Alligator mississippiensis: one gene and its partners. The protein of the gene in region 3 binds, or shares a complex with, the protein of the main gene of each other region. Links are inferred from orthologs where the notes say so. Each region holds a gene or a part of one and is shown on either strand. Other genes may lie near its edges.

Region 1 (7,729 bases), about 95 Mb from region 3:
TCCCTAACTGGGTGGGACAGTCCTGCAATGAGAACCTCAAGTCCCAGTTCCCGGCCTCATGACTACAGGACAGCATTTGTCCTGGATTCGCAGCACCTGCAGGGATCGGGAAATAGCCGGTTTCCCTTTGCAGGCTGGCAGCGGGGTGCTAAGTTCATGTGTACGCCTGCACAAATGCACATGGCTGGGAGATACAGCCAGGCAGCATGGAGAGCAGCTCCCTGCAGGTAAGTCAATGGTGGGGGGGGTACAGATCAATGCCCCCATGGGTGAGGGAGCGAGCAGGGCAGGGGCTGGGCATGATGCCCAGCCAAGGTGGTGCATGGGGTCAGGACAAGGAGCAGGACAGAACCGTGGGAGGTTCCTCCAGGGAGCGGGGGTAATGTGGAGCACATGCCCCACCAGCTTTGTGCACGGGGCAGAGGCAGATGTGGGCTGCCTACTATGGTCTCAGGGGTCCCCACCCTGCTGCAGGGGGGCTTGTGCTGGCCGTGCCACCATGGTAAGGTGCCCCCTGCCCACCTGGCAGCAGCAAGGGCAGGGGCGGTAATAGCATGGAGTTGTGCCCCCTGCTGCTGCTGGGTGGGAAGGGGTCAAGCAGCCAGCATCGGGCTCCCAGGGGAAAGGCAGCAGAGCAGGATGCCCCGAGCCCACAGCAGGCAACCTGCATCCGCTCTGCTCCTTTCGGCTTTCAGCTAGCCATGGTGGTGGCAGCAGCAGGACAGAGGAGAGGTGGACATGTGTCCTGTCTTCCCCTTTTGAAAAGGTGATCACTCTAGCCAGGCGCCTGCCCGCCCCCCTCCATTGCTCCCAGCAAAAAGGTCTGCTGGGTGCGGGCGAGTAGGTGCACACAGAGCAGCAGTTTGCAACCTGGCTCATCCCTTTCACTCCTCCCATGTTCTCAGGGTCAAGTGGACCTGCAAGGGTGGTCACTGGCATGCAAGACCCTATAGGGGCAGCCTAGGGACAGCCTCACCAGGATGGCCTGCCCTTGCCCTGAGGTACAGGCCAGAGGTTGGGAGGGGGCAGACAGTGGGAAGAGCAGGGCTCAGCCAGGTGAACATCTGCCCCCACTGCTTAAGTGGCACAAGCTAAATTAATGATTCTCAACTTTTTTAGCTACAAGCTCCCCCCACACACACACTCTCTTTCGGAGTTCAGATCTCTCAGTGATTTTCAACTGGGGTGCCATGAAATACAGAAAAGTTACAGAGGTACCTAGAGGCTAAAAAAATTGAGAAGCACTGGTATAGAAATGTATCTTTGCTTAAAGAAAGATATATTTGGTGTCATTTGTTAACAGTACATTTAACACTGGTATAATTTCTTCCTGAATTCTTTGTTTTGAATAAGAGATATATAAATATATGTACATGCACGCACCCATTTGGTGTGCCACCAATTTTAATCCATTAAAAAAGGCATCCCAAGTATCAAAAATTGAAGAAACACTAGTCTACATGTGGTATGAACTGTACCTTTGATAACAGGATAGACCTACCTTTCTTAGAATAAAGTTGTATTATTTGTCTTTCATCTTAAAGCTTTAAGGTTAATTGGCTTACCTTTCTTCTCATTCCCAGGACTTGTACTGAATCTTAGAGCTTTCAGCATTCTACAGAATTAGACCCTTGCTGCATTTCCTCATCTGTAAAATAGGGATAACAACACTTGACCAACCTTATAAGCTGTACTACATTTGCCAGCATCATCATTTTGGCAAATCCATCTACTCAATATAAGTATTTACTCCTGAGCTGGGAACCTAACCTCTCCAGAAACTACTGGACCCTCTAGTTTCCCTAAACCTGCCTGTGGCTCTCCAAAAATCCTTCCTCCCTTACATGCCTTCTGAAGAATTCAAGCAGTAAGATCCCTGCCTCCACGGGAAGCCCTTTGAGGCAAATCTGGTGTCGATCCAGCTGCTTTCACCAGCTCAAAATCAAACAAACTTTTCAAAAGTGATGTTTATGGTTTTTCTGTGTGGTTGACCTAGTGGGATAGGGGGAATTAAACTTAAAATGGATTAAAACATTCTTCTCAGTCACAGATAATTAATCTGTGAAATTCGCTACCAGCCAATATTACCAAGGGAAATAGCTTGGTAAGATTTTTTGTTGTTGTTGTAGGAGGGGGAGGGGTGCAGAAAGGAAATGGATTTGACATTTATATGACTACATTCTATAGTTACATTAGCTAGGCTAAAATTACAAGTGTTATCACTATTCATGCTGAAGGCTGTAAACTGATCTTCAGCTGTGGTCTAAGGGGGAAACCAATTACATAGTTTCATAGTTTCATAGTTTGTAGGGTCAGAAGGGACCTGAGCAGATCATCAAGTCCGACCCCCTGCCATGGCAGGAAAGAGTACTGGGGTCAAACGACCCCGTCAAGGTGTTCATCCAGCCTCCTCTTAAAGACCCCCAGGGCAGGAGCCAGCACTACTTTGCTTGGAAGTTGGTTCCAGATCCTAGCCACCCTGACTGTGAAGTAGCGCCTCCTGAAGTCTAGCCTGAATCTACCCTCTGCCAACTTGTGACCGTTATTTCTAGTCACTCCTGGTAGTGCTCAGAGGAACAGGGACTCCCCCAATGCCTGCTGGTCTCCCCTGACTAGTTTATAACAGGCCACTAGATCCCCCCCTCAGCCTTCTCTTGTGGAGGCTGTACAGGTTCAGGTCCCGTAGCCTCCTCATAGGGCCTGCCCTGCTGCCCCCTGATCATGCGGGTGGCCCTCCTCTGGACCCTCAATGCTGGCCACATCCCTCCTGAAGTGCAGCGCCCAGACCTGGACGCAGTACTCCAACTGTGGCCTGACCAATGTCGCATAGAGGGGGAGGATCACCTCGTTGGACCTGCTTGAGATGCATCTGTGGATGCATGACAAGGTGTGGTTGGCCTTCCTGACCGCGTCCCCACACTGTCGGCCCATGTTCATTTTGGCATCAATAATGATTCCAAGATCCTTTTCTGCCTCTGCACTGACAAGAAGGGAGTTCCCCAGCCTGTAGGTATGCTGCTGGTTCTTCCTCCCCAGGTGCAGTACCTTGCACTTGTCAGTGTTGAAACCCATCCTGTTCTCTTCTGCCCACCCCTGTAACCTGTCTAGGTCCAATTGCAGCCTATTCCTCCCTTCTAGTGTGCCCACATACTCATTTCTTCCATACTCAATTAGTTGTACTGAAGGACTTCACCCTGGTTCTCTGAAAACATCAGACCCTATAACATTTTAATAAGCCTTAGCAAACTGATCCGTTCCTCCTGGGGCTCCATGCGTGGTTAGTAAGGTGACCAAATTTTTAAAATAAAAGTAAGAGAGACTTTTTGGCAATTTTTAGGGCCAGGAAATACTCAGATAGAAGAAAAAAGGACACTCAAAAATAATATGGGATGGTATCATCAGACTCTAACTTGCCCCAACACAGGCGAGTGTCTCAACCGAGGGAATATTTTCTAATGCAGTCATTCACAGCACGATGTTATTCATGAAACAAGTGTCAATTTCCCTCTGAGCAAAAGAAAAGCTGGGAAAGCGTGGACACTGATTGACCCAGCTTCTTTCTCTCCTTCTTCCATTGGACTCTTCCTAATGGGCAAAGGACAAACTGTGCTCAGTGCAGCCATGCCTCCTGAACATGTATTTTGTAGTTTTTAAGTTCAGCACACTGGGGGAACAGGAACAGGACACTGAGAACAGACCTGCAATTTCCGTGGCCCTTGGGGCAGGATACACCCTGCCGCAACCCAGGAGAAGCTGGTCCCTGAGAGCCCCAGGCTCTGTGCTTGCAGGCCTGTCAGTCTTGTACCTTTGTGCTGCACTCAACAGGGCTCCTGCCTGGTTCAGGGATCATTTTAAAAGGATGGGCCTGACCCTAGACTCAAGGGGGAAGGCCCCTAGCACTAGTGTGAAGCACCGGTAATGAGAAAAGCTGCTGCACTGCCTTAAGCCACCATTGTCAGGTCTTAAATAGTAAATGATCATACTGGAAGCTCAAAATTATCTCATTTGCTGTAAAAATATCCTACACTGGGAAATACGCAAATAAGTCTTCTTCTTATTGACTTTACATTGCTCAGTATAACCCACCAGTGAGTGAGAACTGGGTTGTCAGTTTTGAAGCCCCTCTTCATTTTGAGGGAAGAAATCATAAGAAAGTGCTAACAGCAAACACAGAAGTCACTGAAGACTCCCTGAGAGTGATTTGGGTTTTGCATATGTAGCATCAATGAGCTGCCTCAAAAAATCATGCAAAAACTCAAAAATCATCCAAAATCATGTGTGCAAAAATTAAGTTTATTTCCTACCTATGGGGACTTTTTACCATCTTGTATCATCTACATTTTTCCCAGAGCCTAACGAAGGGACTTTGCTCTGAAAGCTTGCAGAAAAGGACAATTTTCTTCCCATTTTCCAGTTGGTCTAATAAAAGGTATCATTTTGGAACCAAGAGTTCTAGTCGTTTGTATGTCCTACATTTTGAACACTTTTACTATTATTGATTGTACCTCGTACAAGGCTTGAAATTATCGTGCAACTATGATAACCCGGCAACACAGCCCTAAGTGGAGGCCAGACGGGAGCCCCAGGGCCCCATCCCAAATCGGGACTCAACCCGCCTGCAGCCCCATCCCCCGGGAGAGCCAGCAGAGCTGTCGTGGCTCCAAAACTAGGTAGAACAACCGCGCATGCGCGGGCCGTCCAGCCCCTCAGGGGGAGCAGAGGCGCTAACTGGGCCACGCAATGGGGGCGGGGCGCCCGTTCTGACTCGCTTTCATGGTTCCCATAGCAACCGGGACGTTGGCGGCCTAGAGGCTCCCGGTCAGACATGGCGCTGCCGGAGCCAGTCCGGAGACGGCTCAGCAACTTCAGCCGGACTGTATTCAGCGACAGCAACCGCACCGGCCCGGAGTACCCCGACGGCGGCTGTAGCCCGGGTAAGGCCTGGCTCCCGTGCCAGCGGCAAAGATGGCGGCGGTGGCGGCACCCTCGCGGGTCGCTGCCAGGAACCAAGATGGCGGCCCAGGTGCCTCCTCTACTTCGCTCGCACATTGAACCAACGGCGCAGCCCCTCCTACACTCATTCACTCACTCGCAGGTGGAAGGGAGCCTCCCTCCCAACCTGCGAGCGAGCAGTCCCCGCGGCTGCTCAATGCCTGGGACTACAGCGGCGCCACCACATAAGGGGGCGGGGCGCTGAAGGCGGGGCAGGAACGGGCTAGCCCGTCAGAAGGGCACCGCCTCCTCCCGCTAGGCACGGTGAGCGCGTGCGCAGTGGTACCGGCTGAGCTGCACTGCCTTTGTCTGTCCTCGGGTCCTGCCAACGGGCGGGGCAGGCTTTTTTCTGCTTAATGAGTTAGATATCCAGGTTGTAGCAACATGAGGCAAAAGGAATCAGAACTCGTGGTAGAGGTGACATCTGTTGTTAGACCAACTAGATTTTTGCAAAAAAGAAAAAAAGTCTTTAATTGCAATTAAAGATAGCTTGCAAGTGAGGGATACTTTGACCCTAGCTGACTTCCTACCAGTGGGGCAGGGGGCTGGACTCGATCAGCACTAATGTCAATGAAATCTATGAAGCCTTTTTTTCCCCCCAAAAAAATCTAGTTGGTTTAATAAAAGATATCACCCCTACCACAAATTCTGAATTGGACAGAGGTACACATGGTTGGGTGTGTGTAAGTATTTACACACATGCAAACAGGCATACACACAGGTGTATATTCACACCCCTAACTTTCCTGAACTCAAGCTCTCTTCATCAGTGGCAGTGAAAGGTCTAGGCCAGCGGTTCCCAATCTGTAGTACACGTACCACCAGTGCTACACAGACACCGTGGCAGTGGTACACATTAACAGATTTATTATTATTATATATGACAAAAATTTGCTGGTGATACTTAAGGTCAAACTGAAAAATTTGCTGGTGGTTCTTAAGGTTGTATTGTTTTAAATTGGTGGTGCGCAATTTGTCAGAGTTTGGGAACCGCTGGTCTAGGCTCCTCTTCGCAGCATCTGCTAAAGTGGGGTGGACTTCAAGAAAGCTTGTTCTCTCTCTGTATAGATATACACACACATATAGAATCATAGTTACTTAGTCTGTAAGGTACATACCTACCCTGCCTTACGCCTGTCTTTTTAATTTTTTTTTAATACCAAAACAGCCTGGCTCCAGGGCTTCCAGGACTGTAGAAAAAGCACCAGAGGTAATTGAACTAGTAGTATAGGCTCAGGTCCTTCAGTAAACAGCACCGTTCCATTTCTGAACCCCCTGTACCTCTGCTGTTCCTGCAATTTGGGGGTTTTCAGGTGCTAAAATAACACAGGGAGTCACAGGCATTGGATTTACCCATTTCAGTGCTTAAATTCTCTCAGTCCCCTCTTTATAATAGCAAGCATCATACTTTATAAAGCCTGGTTCGATACCTTCCGCTTCTCCACCACCTTTAGTATCAAATAGGATTTTTTTTTTACATAAAAAATTACAAATGAAGAAATACTTTGCTGTTTGTAATACAAGGAATAAGATAGACAAATACACCCAGTATCTTACTCCGGTGCGTCCTATTGCACCCTACAGTAAGCAGCAATTAAATTAGTTCAAGAGTGGGGGAAAGAAGTTGACATTTTTGGCTACTTTTGTCAACTATTTACCTGAAACTCAATCTTAAATCCTAATCCAAGTATTAGGAATTTGGCCTAATATTGAAATATTAGGACAGGTATTTCAGAAATGTACCCATTGGAATAATACTTGGAACAACCCAGTGTAGCATAGCATCACAAGATGGTCACACAGAAAATTAAAAATCTTGGCCTCTGTCATTAATCAAAACCATTACCATTATCCATAAGTAACTTGCAACAGTTTAAAATGCCTCCTTGTAATTAGATGTTACTTATCCATTGAAGGGTAGGCTGCTGATATCAACTGATACGTTGTTCCAGTTCTGAACGGCTCTCCAGAAGCAGTTCCTTTTCTAATATCTGGAAATGAACTGTCCTGCATTCATCAGGACAGGCTGCAACTAAGAAAGCATGTTATAGCTAAGTAATGAACATTTTTTGGAGGTCTGTAGGTCATCTCCCATTCCTCCTAGTTGGAATAGTTTTTATACATAAAAATGTTGGACTATTAAACATGTCAGTCATCTTGTACCTTCTGTTTTTAGTGTAGACAGTCCCGCCTCTTTACACTATTACCTTAAAGCCTTGTCCCAGTTCCTTTACTATATTCTCCTGCCCCTCCACCTAGCTAATTAATTATCATGAATACTTCAGCATCTGATAAAAAGATTTCTGGGATATGTCTGAGAATTGAAGGTACCATGACTGCATGAGGCTGAACTGGAAACAATGATGATGCTTTCCGAGGTAGAGCAAGGACAGGTAGGAGACTGGAAGTCAAAGAGAAACTAGCCAATATTTGAAGATGGGTTCAATGATATAGTGTTGTTACATATCAGGTCACAAGTCTTAAAGAAAAAAAAAGATACAGAACTTTTGGGTTGCACATGCAGAAACAAGAGATGTTTAACAGGAAATGGAAATGAGATCATAAGAAGAATTTGGCACCTGCCCACAAATGGTAGCAAGTGCCAGTTCTTCTGAACTGCTCTTTGGGACATAAGAGAAACAGATCATTAGTAATTCATTCAGGTATTTATTGATATCATACTAAATATGAGGTAATGCGAATAAGCTTGTCTAATTAAAGGCAAAACTGTTCTCTT
Region 2 (7,290 bases), on a different chromosome or scaffold from region 3:
AAATCTCTCTTCTCAAGATTTGTAGACAGATTTCTTAAGTGTATCCAATAATCCTGGCTATGAGGCGAATGTGACCGTGACCGTGTTCGTGTTCTTTGTCTCCTTGGAGGAGATCTTGAATGAGAATGCTTCCTTGAATGTATATAATTTGAACTTCTCACTGGAGAATGCTCTTTACTTAAAAAGGGATCCATTTCCATCTCAATCTCAATCTCATTCTTCATGCTAGCCCTATCACAGTATTTGATCCATTGCTCTGGGGCTGGACTTATTTCTATAAATCTTGAGCCAATGTATTGTTTATTACGCTTAAGTCCTTCCAAAGCATCCTTAGGTGTAGCAAATTTTACTACGCTATTTCCGTTATTCAGACCATTGCGACGCTTTATGAAGATCACTTCATCCACTCGTAACCCAGAAAAGAAAACACGTACTTCTTCTTCAGTTGCAAAGTACGGTAAACCTCTCAGAAATAAATAAAGGTTACCTGAAAGCAACTCTTTCCTCGACTGGTTATAGTTTGCTATGCTTGAATCACCATGTCTTGTACCATTGCTATGAAAGCCAGCATCTGTGTGATTTGATGGACTTTTACTCATTCCTTTTGTAATAGCCGCAACTAAATGTGAAATGTTGCCGACGCTCGAGGCACCAGAATTACTAAGACTTGTTCGTCTAGACCCAGATGTGGTTTCTCTTCTTCCACGATCAAACCTTTTCCGGCTCATTTCTATAGTATTCTGCATTTCCGTTTTGCTGCTGAGAAACAGTTCTATGCGGGAGTCCTTGATAAAGCTTCCTGAACAGCTCATGGCACGTCGTGCATCTTCATCTGTTGCAAAAATAATAAAAGCCTCCCCAGTTTCTCCTCCAATAATATGCACTCCTCCATCAGGAATATTCAATCCCAAGAAGAAACGGCGAATATCTGCAGGGCCCGCAACAACAGGAAGCCCCTGTAAACGGATGACTACAGCCATGCTGCGCTCAACTCACAGCAAAATCACCTGCAGACAAAAAGGTACACATGATAGCAAGTCTTTAGTACTCATCTATCGCAGTATCTAAGCTCTTAAACTAACACCTTTTTAATGAAAATCCCTGATTCAATCAAGCTTTATGAAATCAAGCAAGAAGCTCACAAGTTCACCACAATCATTGAATCCTGTTTTAATCTTGAAGTAGATTTAGTCAAAACCATTAGCTATTCCACCTGGAAGTATGCACAATCTGTCAATATTCCCTATCTAAAGGCAACAAGATCCACATGAGTCAACTCCTCACCATCCACGATAAATAAGGACCATCTCAAGTCTTTCTTGGCATGGCTGCTACTTGTCAGAGATGCTAAGAACCAAAGTCTTCTCTTTGTGTTAGAGGCACTTGCTATCACAGCACTGAAAAAACTGAAAATAAAAGATGAGGGGAAAAAAGAAGAAAAAAAAAACCCCTACATCACCAAAAAAGCATTTCAGTGACTGTAACGAATGTTATGCTCTCAGACAAGTTGTCTACCAACTAACCAGTTCTGCTTACAAATGCGTATATATAACAAACAATGCAACAACGTTGTCTCTCTTCTTGCAGCAGCCAAATGCATTCAGGAAAGCATTTCCTATTTCCCAGTCATAAAGTCTGTGAGAAATGGCTTTGCGTGGTCTTTTGACAATACTGAGCGAGAAATGTTAGCCTTTAGGCAGCTTACCTGGTTCTGCTTGGAAGACCTGATAAATTCTGTAAAATCAACTTAACTGTGGAAAGAAAATGAGACATAATTAATGGCTGATATCACATCTGGTTAAAATACTGTGCCACATTGCTATTGTACATCCATATCAATAGCTAATATTAACAGCCAAGCACTGTAATGAAACCACGATTTGGGTTGTTATGGAGAGGATTCCTTCCTTGTTCCAAGAGAAATACAAGTCAGACAATGTAATTCAGCAAAATGTTATGCCTTGCACTTTTGCCTGTGAATCCATTTAGAAGTAAAATATTCAAAGGTAAAGTTGCTTCTGCAAATGATGAAAACATGCCAAGATTAATGGGTCATCAATTGTGCCACACTGAACTGTTCACAGGAAACAATGGCCAATAAGGTAAAAGGAAAAACCTCTTCGTTTAGTCCTTGAAAGATGCATAAGTCCCACTGAAGATTACATTAAATGTCCAATTCTTCTGAAATCCACCTGCTTTTGAAGTGCGTGACAGAATATGCTACTCACCACCATGGTATTCTTGAAGACACATAATGAAGAAAACCATAAGACAGAGCAAAAAAATTCAACAAGCAGAAATTCCGGAGAGTACAGGAAGTTACAAATTAAACTCATTTGTATTTCCCCCCAAATACCTACTGTCCTTCAATCACAGAACCAAAAACACTACCTTGAGAATCTTAGACTTATCCTGGTCTTTAAACAATTCCTATAGCATGAAAGCCATAGACTACATAGCATATTCCCCTACAGAAACAAGGTAAACCTATGCATGGAATTACCATCATATCATTAGCAATAATAAACTCTGGCTGACAACTGTTTAAGCATACAACATTATGCAGCAAGACTTGCAACAGACCAGGGAAGAGACAGATCTGCACAGCCACCTCATAACCAGAACAGCCCATTGCTTCACCTGAATTAGCACAAAAAATAAAACCAAAAACGTTTCTGTAACTGGCAAATCCAGTGCCAATTTCTAAATTTGTTACATCCTTGTTTTGGAAAAACAGCTACAAGCTAAAACAACTGCATGTCTGAAAATCACACTTCTAGATAAAGAGCTTCCCACATCTGTACAGCTATCTTCTCAATCGATAAAATGGCAACGCCAACATGCAAGGGAAGAATTCAACAGGAAAGCCAATTTTCCCAACAAACCTTCGACTCGAAGTCAAATCCGTATGCCTGCATTTCATTTGGTGGTCTGTAGTATGTCAGCAGTTTTCTACTTCCCTTCTGCATTCCCATACCAATTATTACCCAATATTCTGTCTTCACCCCAGAATCAGCGACGTTTCTGTGACGATAACTATCAAGATCCCTGCGATACATCCCAGGCCTAACATACAGCTACTATTCTTTAAACCAGACAAAGATCACAACAGTAGTGAAACTGAAGTTGTCCCACAGATAAAAAAAGAGCCAAGTGCAGCCAATGAACTTCCACTAGCCGTCCATCCATGCAACCAGCAGCTGCAAGTGCATGCAAGGCAACAAGTGCTTTAAAGGAACGACCCAACAAAGCTACAGGTAGCTTAGAAAGCTTTTTTCTTTAAATACCTATGAACAGATCAACACTTGAGCAAAGCCTTCAAAGGAGGAGGTTGAGAGAGACCGAGCAGGAAGGGTTTTGTGAAACCCTAGGTAGCCACCGGCTCCAAGCCTAAAACCCTGCGTAGCTCAAGCTCCATTTCTGATGCCACTTCACAACGCAGGCAGCGATCTCCTCGCACGGGAACGGGGCCCGGCCCACAGTGCCACAGCCGGGCCGCCCATCCTTCTCCTTTCCGCAGCAGGCCGCCAGGACGGAGCCCCACACAGGAGCCAGCGGGGGACGCAGCGAAGCACCAGCGCCCGGGGCTGGTGTGAGAAGTGGCCGACGCCGAAGCAGGAGGTCCCTTTCCCGCAGCGCGACAGCCGCGCGCTCCTGCTGCCCGAGGCTCCCGGCTCCCGTGCGCAGCCATTGGGCTCCCGCCGCCCCCGTCCTCCGCTCCTCGGCCCGCTCGGGCCGGCTGGCGGCGCATCCCGCGTTCCCGCCCGGGCCGAGAGCCGGCGCTGGGGCCGGCGGGGAGAACAGGCCGCTCCCGCCCTCCCCCGCCTCTGGCCCTCTGCAAGCGTGGGGCGGCCGGTCGCCGAGGAACCCCGCCCCGCCCCCCTCCGAGCCAGCAGGCGACGCGGCCCAGCGCGAGCAGCCGCCTCCCGCCGCCGTACACACCGGTGCCCACTACACAGGCGCGAGGAACCGTCCCCTCACTCAGCGCCCAAGTCAGGCAGCAACAAGATGGCGCCGCCCCACACCTCGCCGCATCGCGCAGGCGCGACCCCCTCCCCTTTGACCTTCCCGCCAACAGACGCGCGAGCCTCCAACCGCTTCCCGCTAGGAGGAGGCGCGTACGGCTTGCGTTGCGTCACTTCCGGTGCTAACTGCGCGTGCGTGCTAGGTTCAGGTTTCACTACGCATAGGCGGGTTGCATCCCGGACGCGCGCAGGCGGCCTATAGGGAGCCGTGATTGCTACAGACGGCGCGCATGCGCTCCGCAGCGACGTCTGGCTACGGACCTCCCCCACCCCCGCCAGCGGGATCCCGGTCGCCATGGCGACGGCTGGGCGTTGGGCCGCCGTCGCGCTGCTGCTGCCGCTGCTGCTGGGCGCGGGGCCCTCGGCCGGGCACAGCTTCTCCCTGCCCCTGCGGCGGCCCCGCGACTGCGGCGAGCCGCGCTACTTCGACACCGCCAGCCTGGCGTGCGGGGCGTGCGGGCCGCACCAGCGGGGCAGCGCCTCGGGTGAGCGGTGAGGTGCAAGGCGTCGCCCCGCCCGCGCCCTCTGCTCAGGGGAGCTGCCGTGCGGCTGCCGGCCCCGGCCCCTGAGCGCGTCGGGGGAGCCCTGGAGATGAGACTTCTCTGGGGCGCCGCGGCTTCGAGCTGCTGGAGAGGGGAGAACAGGTCCTGCCCGGGAGGGCGCCGTAGCGGCACGGCGTTGCCGGGTCTTAAATATGAAATGATCCTATTGGAAGCTCAAAATTATTGTATTGGCTGAAAAACGATTGTATGCTGAAAATATGCACATAAGTATGTAAATAAGTCTTAGCCAGGCAGCGAGCAAGAACTGGGTCATCAACGCTGAAGCATTTCTTTATTTTGAGGCAAGCAGTTGTAAGCAGGGATCCTGTGGGAAAACGGAGAAAACAACGGATTTTCCCCTTTACCGGTGGAAAACATGGATCTCTCATGTTTATCAGAGAAACCTGAAGATTTTGCAGTTTTGCGAAGAGCGCTCTGCAGGTGGGCTGGGGCGGGTGGGAGGAGGGCGGTCAGGCAGGGGGCAGCGTGTGCGTGTGTGCGCACATAGTTGCTGGGCAGCCTGGAGAGCAGCTCCTAGGTGTAGGTGCAGGGTTGGGGGAATAGAGGCCTCCCATAGGGAGGGCAGGGCTGGTGCTGCTGTCCCAGCCGGGCAGTGCATGGGGCGTGTGGCCCTGGGCTGCAGTGTGTGGCCACAGGGCCTTGGTGGGGAGTAGCATGAGGCCACAGCTTGTCTGGCGGGTGAGCAGAGTAAGGCCAGCTCCTGCCGCTACGCACACTCCCAGGAAACAGGGAGGACCTGTGCCCCCCTTCCCCCCCCCCCCCCCCGATATATATGCAGGGTGGGTGCAGGCTGCACACTGCAGGGTCAGGCTCCCACCTTGCTGCCCTTCCCTGGAGCATCTGCAGCCCGACAGGTGCGAACCAGTGGTTCAGGGAACGGCAGGGCCATGCAGGGATCTCTTTGTTGCTGCGAGATCCGCGCTGCCCTAGTGACATGCCCTCTGCGCAAGGCAGCAGCAGGGGCAGCACCATGGCGTTGTGCCCCTCGCTGCTGCCGCATGCGCTGGGGATGCATTGCCAGGGCTGGGTGGGGCTGTGGGGGTGGCAGTGATTGGCACAAGCAGGGCCGGGGGACCGTGGAAGGAATGAGGGGCACCAGCAGGATTGGGGGGACAAGTGGCCTTTCATTTCAATCGCAGATTTTCCAGGGTGTTTTATCAGAGAAATTGCAATTTTTTTGTTTATTTATTTATTTCTTAAATCAGGGAAAACCAGGATCCTTGGTCATAAGGAAGTGCTGGCAGCAAACCCTAAAGTCAGTTGAAACTCCCTGAGAGTGACTTGGGTTTAGAATTTGCTGCATCAATTAGCTGCCTCAAAAATTATCATACATTTTGAAGACTTCTGCTGTTATAGATCGTACAAGGGTTGAAATTATCGTACAAATATGATAATTATACTCTTGGCAACAATGAGCAGGTGGCCCACAGCGACAGCATAGCCTCCATCTATGTGCAGTTGGGAGAGCAGAATAGGCAGGCACTGAGTAGGGATGGATTAATCTGGGGGCAGGGGGACAATGATTCGGGCTGGAGGGCTCTTTAGGGAGTTTTGGTGAGGTGCTGGAGGGGAGGGGAGGCAGTTGATCCTGTCCAGCCTGGCGTCCACCCTGCACCCTGTGCTGGGGGTGCCAGATAATGTGAGCAGGCAGGCAAGGTCTCCATGGAGACCATTCATTGCACTGCGTTGGACAAATGGGAGGGCACCACAGGTGGGTGGGGAGTAGTGTCGTGGAGAGGGAAGGGTGGGCAGGGCACAAGGCAGAGCCATGACCCAGTCCCTGCACATCCCTGCGATGAGGAACAGGGACATGCAGGGAGCAGATCACAGTTCTGCCCCTGACCCCACACTGTCACTGCCCTGTGATCCCAGCCCTAGCCCTGCCTGCTGATCCTGCTCCTAGACTCTGCTTCCTGCCTGCCTGCAGCCCCATCCCATCCACCCAGCTGAGCATAGCCTGCTTGTGGGGGGTCCCAGGCTGATCTCCATGGAGACCCCGCCCAGCTGCTCCATCCACCATCCCTGGCAGTGGATGCACCAGGGTGCCCAGGTAGTGGGGCTGGGTCCACCAGTGGTGACAGCAGCAGAGATGCAGGCAGCAGCAGCCTGCCATGGAGGCTGCCAGGAAATCAAGTCTGGCTTCTGTTCTGCCACTGCCCTGCCATGTGTGCCTGGGCTGGCTCCTGGGCTAGCAGGGCCAAGGAACCTGCCACAGGCTGGATAGAATCCTTTGGGCTGGATCTGGCCTGTGGCCTGTATTTTGCTAGATGACCTCAAGTCCCTTCCAGCACTGAGAAGCTATGGTTCTATGACCCTGGAAACTTTGTTGTATTATTTTTATGTAACAGTCTAGGGCAGTGGTGTTCAACATTTTTCCCTGTGGGAGCTCATGGGCAATGCCTGGTCTGCTGCTCCTGGATAGTAGTTCCTATCCAGCTCCCAGGGGCAGACACCACTGGTCCAGGAGGAGGGGACAGATTGCAGCCGAGCTCAAGCTTGGTTCTGCAGAAAGGGGAAAGAGGCTTCATGGGAGGGCATGGTTTGGTCCTGCAGGGGGAGGGGGCGTGACCCAGCCCCACCTGGGAAAAGTGGGGGCCATGGCTCAGCCCTGTGAGGGAAAGGAGTATGATTGGGGAGGCATGATCAGCCCCAGTCTGGCCCTGCGGGGGGGAAGGGGAGTGTGGGAAGGGGGAAGGAGGCAT
Region 3 (7,995 bases):
TAAGATCCAGAAATGGTGATGGTCCTGTTGTGGGGTGTAGTTATTGTAAGAGTGGTGGAGATGTGTTGGCAGACTTTACATTTCTTGCCCTGGCATGATCTGGATCCTTTCAGTGTGCTTTGGGCCACAGGAAGTTTGCTTCTGGTAATAAGGTTGGCAACGTTTGGTGCTTGTTTAAAGGTTAGGATGGGCAGTTCTGGGAAGATATCTTTAAGATTTGATTCTTCTTCTAGTACGGGTTGCAATTATTTGCGGATTTTCCGTGTAGGTTCCAGGGAGGGTTGATATGTCATAGCTAAAGGTGTGCAATTCATGGGGATTTTCTTTTTGAACTTCAGTAATTCTTCACGTGGTATCCAGGTGGCTCTTTCAAAAGTGTGATCTCTCTCTCTGGAGAAGCGTCCTTGTTGTGTGAAAGCCATTTTGAGATTTGCAAGGCAACGATCGCGGGTGTCCTCCTCAGTGCAAATTCGGTGGTATCGAAGGGCTTGGCTGTATAGTACAGCTTTCTTGGTTCTTTAGGGCGATTGTTGGTTCTGTAAGGATATTTATGTTGGTCCATGGGTTTCTTGGTCTGATCCTTACTGCCATGTATTTGCTTTTTCACAGAGCTGCATTTTGCATATTGGCTTCTATTCCATCCAAACACACAACACAACAACAGCAGACTCTCCCTATGCCTGGAGAAGGGTGTTTGTGCCCAAAACCTTGCAAAGAACAATGTTTCCAATGATTTAGTTGGTCTAATAAAAGATATAATTTATCCAAAGAACCCTGTCTGCCTAATTCTAACTTTTATCTTGACAATATTATTTTCCTCGACCAGCACTAATGATGTTGGAAAACGGCTTCCTATTAAAGAAACATTAAGAAAAAAACATTCAGCCTGAGGAAAAGAAAGCCGAGAGGGGACCTGGTAGCAGCTTACCGCTACACTAGGGGAGTGCATCAAGCACTCGGTGAGCAACTGTTCACCAGGGCAGCTGAGGGGAAAATCAGGAGTAACGGCCACAAACTTCTGGAAGATCGATTCAGGCTCAACATTAGGAAAAAATTCTTCAGTCAGGGTGTCCAGACTGCAGAATAAGCTCCCTCCAGAGGCAGTGTAACCACCTACCCAGGAAGTATTCAAGAGGAGACTGGACAGTCACCTTGTGGGGGTCACCTGACCCCCAGTTATCTTTCCTGCTTAGTGCAGGTGGCTGGACCTGGTGATCTTCCGAGGTCCCTTTCTGCCTTTCAATCTACGAATCCTTCAGAATAGATTTACATTCCTAACAGATAGTAATAAAAGGAAAACAGCAGTCTGCATCCAGAGAGTCTAACAGCTTATTGTATATCTTCCTGCCTAATTTCTTTTCCATTTTCTTCCCCAATATCCAATCTATCCTGTTTTTAAAAAGTAGTTTTCCAATGTATGCTCAAATCAAATCTTCAGAATGGCAGCCCCAAGTCAACTACTGTTGTTTGTATAAATATATACTGATGCAACAGTACACTTTTTACTCTAAAGTAAAAAAAGTTGCACTTTTTACTCTGAAGGTCTCAAGTGTTTTACATATTATACAGTGTATGATGAAGTGAAAGCATACATATTATAAAATTCTATTCAGCAGAAAATTTAGAAACCATTATCGAATTTGGGTCATGAGAGAATTTAGTTGGTATGATGCAATTACCCGATTCAAACTTTAACCAAATTGCACACGCCCTATTTAGAAGCAAAAATCAAGTCTTCCGTGATCAAAAATGTTGTTATACCTTAAGATAGCCCAGTGCCTCCTAACACTCTATTAAGACATCAAGCTAGTACCAACTCAAAAGGAAAGGGCCAATTCTTGAATCTTGGTACTATTCTAGGTCTTTCTGGGTTTTCCCAAAATTGCTTCAGTCTGAGACCTACAGGCAGCAGCAGGGGCAAGAGGACAGGGCTCTGCAGGCCTAATTTAGCTCAGAGGGTTTCAACTGTCTTTGAAACCCCTGATTTACAAGATAAACCCAGAGATTTCACAGAGGAATCCCCAGTGTTAAAACCAGTCTGACCTAGTGCAGGCTGAGTCCTTCCCAACATGTTATTTTTCTGTAGCCCAAAAATGAGCGAAAGCAAGGAGCTGCCATGGAGGCCTCGAGGCTAACAAGACTGAGAACCACCGTGCTATAGACCTGGACATACTGTCACTTGCAACAGCTGCAAATCACTGGAATGTAATTATTAAAAATACTACATTAAAGCACTCACTGGACATGGGCTTAACCGTGCTAGACCGCAATGCAGTTTTTAGTCAGCCCCTGTCAGGAGATACCCCTTGCCACTCTAGCACCCCAGGAGGGTGCTGAACAGGCAACAAGGTGCTTAAAGAGGGCGCCTGCTCCCACTGGAACGGTGCTTAGCGAGCGTGAACATGATTGTGGGACACTGGCACCAGACGTGCTCCAAAGCCAGACCACAAGACCTCAGCAGGATGGCTAGGACTGTGGGTGGACCCAGAGCAGGTGGTGATTCCACTCGGCCCCGGGGGGGGCAGCTCACGCAAAACAGGGAGTACCCACCAGTCCCTTCCCCTCAAAGCACCCCCAACCCCACCCTCACCCTCATGCAGCTCCCATGTGAAGCCCTAACACGCGGGTACCCCGCGCATGCGCAGCGGGTGCTGAGGATGAGGGAGAACGAACCCCCTGGGAGCCGCGCGTGACGTCATCCACCGGGAGCAGATGAGCCCTGCCCCGCCCCCCCGGAGCAGACCACAAGCCTCGCGGGGGAGGCAACGGTGCGGCTCGAGGACGTGGGGTCGCGGTCGTACCGCCGAAGCCCCCTGTCGCCACGGCCCGTGATCGGCGCCACGCTCGGATCCCTCCTCCCCACCCCCCCGACACCTGGGGATGGGGCCCCACGTCGCGGGCGGAACCCCACTCACGTTGGCCGAGCCCAGCGCGTCTCCTCTGGCGGCGGCGCCGCTGCTTCCCGCAGTCTCCCTCTTTCCTCACTTGGTCTCTCCCGCCCGTCCCCCCCGGCTGCTCACGATAGTTGCGCCGAAAACAACAACAGCGGCTGCCAAGGAAACGGCGTTCGGCGCACTGCGCATGCGCTCAAGTGGAGGCGGGGCTTATGGGGCAATGCGGTAGCCGAGTGTCGCTCGGGTCTTCCAAGTGTGCGGTGGTGGAGCGCATGCGCCTTGGGAGGAGGAGGGAAAGGCTGCAATGGGCACGCGCCGGCAGGGACCTCACTCATGGAGTCCAAGTGGGACCTGTCCAAAACAGGGCTGTCCTCAAGTATAACATCCTAACATAGGCTTTATGTAGTCTGGTCCTAGAAATCTCCCAGGTCCACAACCTCTCTGGGTGGCCTGTTCCAGGGCTTCACTGTCCTTGTGCCAAAGTGTTTCCTCAAGTCTAGCTTGAACTTCACAGATTCATGAAGCTGAGGGCTGGAAGGGACCTCGGGAGATCACTGGGTCCAGCCCCCCCATGGGCCAGGAAAGACAGGTGGGGTTAACCAACTCCAGCAAGGTGCGCGTCCAGCCTCCTTTTGAAGATCTCCGGGGCAGGTGCCTGCACCACCCCCACTGGGAGTCTGTTGCAGAGTCCGGTCACACAAACCCCAAATAAGTTTTTCCTTGTATCCAGTCTGAAACCTAGGAGTTGATGACCATTGATCCTGGCTTTCCCCTGGGGTGCTTTGATGGGGGTTTTCCACTGGGGCACTGGGTTTGCCTAGCCCCTGATGCTCACCCCTGATATATTTGTAAGCTGCCACCAAATCCCCCCAAAGTCTTCTCTTTTCTAGGCTGAACAGTCCCATATCTGTCAGCCTTTCCTCATAACGCTTGTTCTTCAGGTCTCTAATCCAATGAGTGGCTTTTGTCTGGACTCAAGCTTCTCCGCATTCTTTTTGAGCTTCCCCTGCTGCAACTGGAGACCATTGTTCCTTGTCTTCAAGCTTCCTTCAGAGGCGCTGGGTGTTAGCTACAGCCAGGGCTGGGGAGTCCCAATGCTGGGAGTAAAGTTGCAGGTTCCTGGCTAGAGGGTCTTCTTGCTCCTCTGCTCAGGGTCAGACTGATTGCCAGATTTGGGGTCAGGAAGGGATTTTACCCCATGGTCACACTGGTGAGGACTGCGTGGGTTTTTGCCTTCCTCTCTAGCCAGAGCCATGGCTGCTTTCCCAAGATCTCGAGTGTATATTAACAACCTTTTACAGAAGCCAGACATTGGCTGCTGTGGTTCCCCTGCTTTACCTGTGGCAAGTTAAGGTGTTAGGTCTGATGTGTCAGAGTTTAGATGAGGGATTTGTATGGGATGGTTTGGACAGGGGTGATTCTGCCTCAGGGCTGGAAGGGACCTCCAGAGGTCATCCTCTGGAGGTCCCTTCCAGCCCCTCTTCTTTGACTCTGATTTCTATGATCAGGAGGGGAGCAGAAGGCAGTGCACACAGGGTACAGAGCAGCAGATGGGGCAGGGAGCAATAAGCAAAGCAGCAGATGGGGCAGGGGTACCAGGGAGCAGAGTGGCAGATTGGGAAGTGCATCAGAGTGGTACTAGGGGAGAGTAGGAGCTGATGTTGACTGTCCTTGGGATGGGTGACAGGCTGGTACAAATCCCTGTTGCCTTGACTCTCAGGTTTTCATTTTTAAACCAGCAGGAGAACTTTTGGAGAATTTTTCTGCTCTCCAATTTTTGCTCAAAGAAGTCATTTTTTAAAAAGTTAATTGAGGATTCTTTTTCTACTAAACCATTTCAGCATGCTGTCTGAATTTGTAGGCAATTAACTATGAATATTCATTTTTGTTAAAAGGATTAAATCCATGGATGAAATTAGTGGCCAAACCTCTATTGATTTTAGTGTGGCCATGATTTCATTGAGCACAGGGTTTCACCTTTTGTCTGTATTGTAAGCTGCAGCACAAGTAGTCAAAGCCACTTAACTCAGCTTATCATCCTCCAAGTGACTGATGGTTCAGTCTAAATTCTATTTCTTCAGTTGCAAATCATCCCTTTTTAGAGTCATATGAAGAAAGAGCCATGCAATAAATTATTTGACTGACTGCAATTGTAGTAATTTTCTAGAACAATGAAAGCCAACCTTTTTGGCAGGCATGCCACAAATTAGCCCTGCATCCTCCCCAGATTGCTATTCTGATTCCCTTCCTCTATCTGATCTGCTTTGCTTTCTGCCCTGTCTGCCACTGTGCTGCCTGTCTCCCTCCCCGGGCCAATCTGCCCCTCCCTGCACATAGAGACTGCAAACTTGTAGCACATGTGCCTTAGGTTGCCCCTCCTAGTAGGCTAAAATAATCTGTGGCTCCATGGAAGCCAGGGAATTTAGCTCTCCAAATGCCCTGTTAATGGAAACAGGCTCTTTCTGTTGACTGGGCTATGCAAATTATCTAATTAACTCACCCAGCAAATGAAAGTGATGGAGCAGCCTACTAAATTTAAACCTATGGCCTGGCACTAACTTGGTGACAAAGGGACTTGGACAAATTCAACAGACTCCGTTATAGACTAGAAACAACAAGACTATTATTATCACAGTATTAATTAACAAACAACAATGAACAACATCAAATACAGAACTAATCAGCAGGGAAGGGAAAGAAACCAAAGGATTACAGGGGAGAGAGTAAAAGCCAGAGAGCAAAGCTCCCTCTCTCCCTTCACACTTGCAACAATGCTGTGGATGCAGGCACAGGTCTCACAGGCTCTATTAGCCACAATAATGAGTCAATATAGTTTTCCTCCTCCCTCCCAGGAGTATTCCTCTCCTGCAGAGGCTCCACTCCTTTAATAGGGATGGGTAATATGTTACCCTCCAAAGGTGGTGATTATCAGCAACTGGTGATTAGCCAGCCAGTCTGGGATTGACTACAACATCTAGTAGGGAGCTTTGCCAGCACACAGTGAAGATACACTCAACAATCAACAACTTTTATCCAAACCCATGGATAATGCCAATACATCCATCCACTCCTCTCAAATGAATCACACTAATTGCACACTTACACACACAGACCTACACCTTCAGTCACACGTCACCAGTCACACACCAACTGTGCAGAACCTCAGGCTCGGGCTCTTTTATAGCCCTCTAATCACACCACTTTTCCATACCAGTTGTACTTTTATGATTTATGCCAATCATTCCTTCAAACAACACACACACCTGTCAATCACTCCTTTGATATGTCTTTCAAACTTCATCCAGTCATGAGGTTAATCACCTCAGGAAGTGAATCTCTTCTCTCTCAATTTTTGGTGCCAAAACCTGTTTGTCACTTTTACGCCAACTGGTCATGCTCAAAACTTTTAAGTAGGACAGTAGTTCAAAAGTTCAGACTTTCTCAAACCTACTGGTCCTGAATAATATAGAGCATGCACAACTTTAACATAAGTAATACAACCAAGGTCATGGACACTGAGATCTATGGTAACATTTCAATTCAAAGACCTTTTTTTTGAAGCAGGAAAGCATACAACCAATGTATGTAAACGTATACATAGATGCTAGGGTTGGAAGGGACCTCAATAGATCATCGAGTCCGACCCCCTGCATAGGCAGGAAAGAGTGCTGGGTTCAGATGACCCCAGCTAGATGCTTATCTAACCTCCTCTTGAAGACCCCCAGGATAGGGGAGAGCACCACCTCCCTTGGGAGCCCGTTCCAGACCTTGGCCACTCGAACTGTGAAGAAGTTCTTCCTCATGTCTAGTCTAAATCTGCTCTCTGCTAGCTTGTGGCCATCATTTCTTGTAACCCCCGGGGGCGCCTTGGTGAATAAAACCTCACCAATTCCCTTCTGTGCCCCCGTGATGAACTTATAGGCAGCCACAAGGTCGCCTCTCAACCTTCTCTTGCGGAGGCTGAAGAGGTCCAGGTGCCCCAGTCTCTCCTCATAGGGTTTGGCCTGCAAGCCCTTAACTATACGAGTGGCCCTTCTCTGGACCCTCTCCAGGTTATCCACCCTCTTGAAGTGTGGCGCCCAAAACTGCATGCAGTATTCCAACTGCGGTCTGACCAGTGCCCGATAGAGGGGAAGTATCACCTCCTTGGATCTGTTCATCATGCATCTGGTGATGCATGATCAAGTGCCATTAGCTTTTCTGATGGCTTCGTTACACTGCTGACTCATGTTCATCTTGGAGTCCACTAGGACTCCAAGATCCCTTTCTGCTTCCGTTCCACCAAGCAGGTAATTTCCTAGGCAGTAGGTATGCTGAACACTTTTCCTCCCTAGGTGCAGCACTTTGCATTTCCCCTTGTTGAATTGCATTCTGTTGTTTTCTGCCCATATGTCCAACCTGTCCAGGTCTGCTTGTAGTTGTTCCCTGCCCTCTGGCATGTCCACTTCTCCCCACAGTTTTGTGTCATCCGCAAACTTGGACAGGGTACACTTCACTCCCTTGTCCAAGTCGCTGATGAAGACATTGAAGAGTATCAGTCCAAGGACCGAGCCCTGCGGGAACCCACTGCCCATACCCTTCCAAGTCAATACCGACCCATCCACTACGACTCTCTGGGTGCGACCCTTTAGCCAATTTGCCACCCACTGGACTGTGTAGTCATCCAAGTCACAGCCTCTTAACTTGTTTACCAGTATGGGGTGGGATACCGTATTGAAGGCCTTCCTAAAGTCTAAGTATACAACATCAACCCCTACTCCTGCGTCCAGGCATTTTGTAACCTGGTCATAAAAAGAGACTAGATTAGTCAGGCATGATCTGCCTGCTACGAACCCGTGCTGGTTTCCCCTCAGCATAATTTGTCCTGCCGGGCTCTCGCAAATGTGAGCCTTGATCATTTTTTCGAAGACTTTGCGTAGGATGGAGGTGAGACTGACTCGCCTATAGTGGCCTGGGTCCTCCTTCCTCCCCTTCTTGAAAATGGGGACCACATTGGCCCTTTTCCAGTCCTCCGGGACCTGGCCCGTGCACCACGAGTGTTCAAATATTACCACCAGTGGCTGTGCAATGACGTCAGCCAGTGCCTTCAGTACCCTCGGAT

The links. Proteins that work in one complex are often made in the same cells at the same time.
Region 1: AHI1 (region 3) and TMEM17 share a complex: the UniProt entries of both Homo sapiens proteins name them as parts of the tectonic-like complex. The link is inferred for Alligator mississippiensis from reciprocal best matches to the Homo sapiens genes AHI1 and TMEM17.
Region 2: AHI1 (region 3) and TMEM67 share a complex: the UniProt entries of both Homo sapiens proteins name them as parts of the tectonic-like complex. The link is inferred for Alligator mississippiensis from reciprocal best matches to the Homo sapiens genes AHI1 and TMEM67.

What each region holds. Positions count from the first base shown.
Region 1 is NC_081824.1:212,938,366-212,946,094, reverse strand, and holds the start of TMEM17 (transmembrane protein 17), read left to right. Parts: upstream 1-4,707; 5' UTR 4,708-4,825; coding exon 4,826-4,934; intron 4,935-7,729. UniProt on the Homo sapiens protein: Transmembrane component of the tectonic-like complex, a complex localized at the transition zone of primary cilia and acting as a barrier that prevents diffusion of transmembrane proteins between the cilia and plasma membranes.
Region 2 is NC_081826.1:43,994,466-44,001,755, reverse strand, and holds the start of TMEM67 (meckelin), read left to right. Parts: upstream 1-4,268; 5' UTR 4,269-4,320; coding exon 4,321-4,510; intron 4,511-7,290. Other genes in the region: RBM12B (RNA-binding protein 12B), read right to left, coding at 1-980. UniProt on the Homo sapiens protein: Required for ciliary structure and function. Part of the tectonic-like complex which is required for tissue-specific ciliogenesis and may regulate ciliary membrane composition.
Region 3 is NC_081824.1:117,719,391-117,727,385, forward strand, and holds the start of AHI1 (jouberin), read right to left. Parts: upstream 3,068-7,995; 5' UTR 2,916-3,067; intron 1-2,915. UniProt on the Homo sapiens protein: Involved in vesicle trafficking and required for ciliogenesis, formation of primary non-motile cilium, and recruitment of RAB8A to the basal body of primary cilium.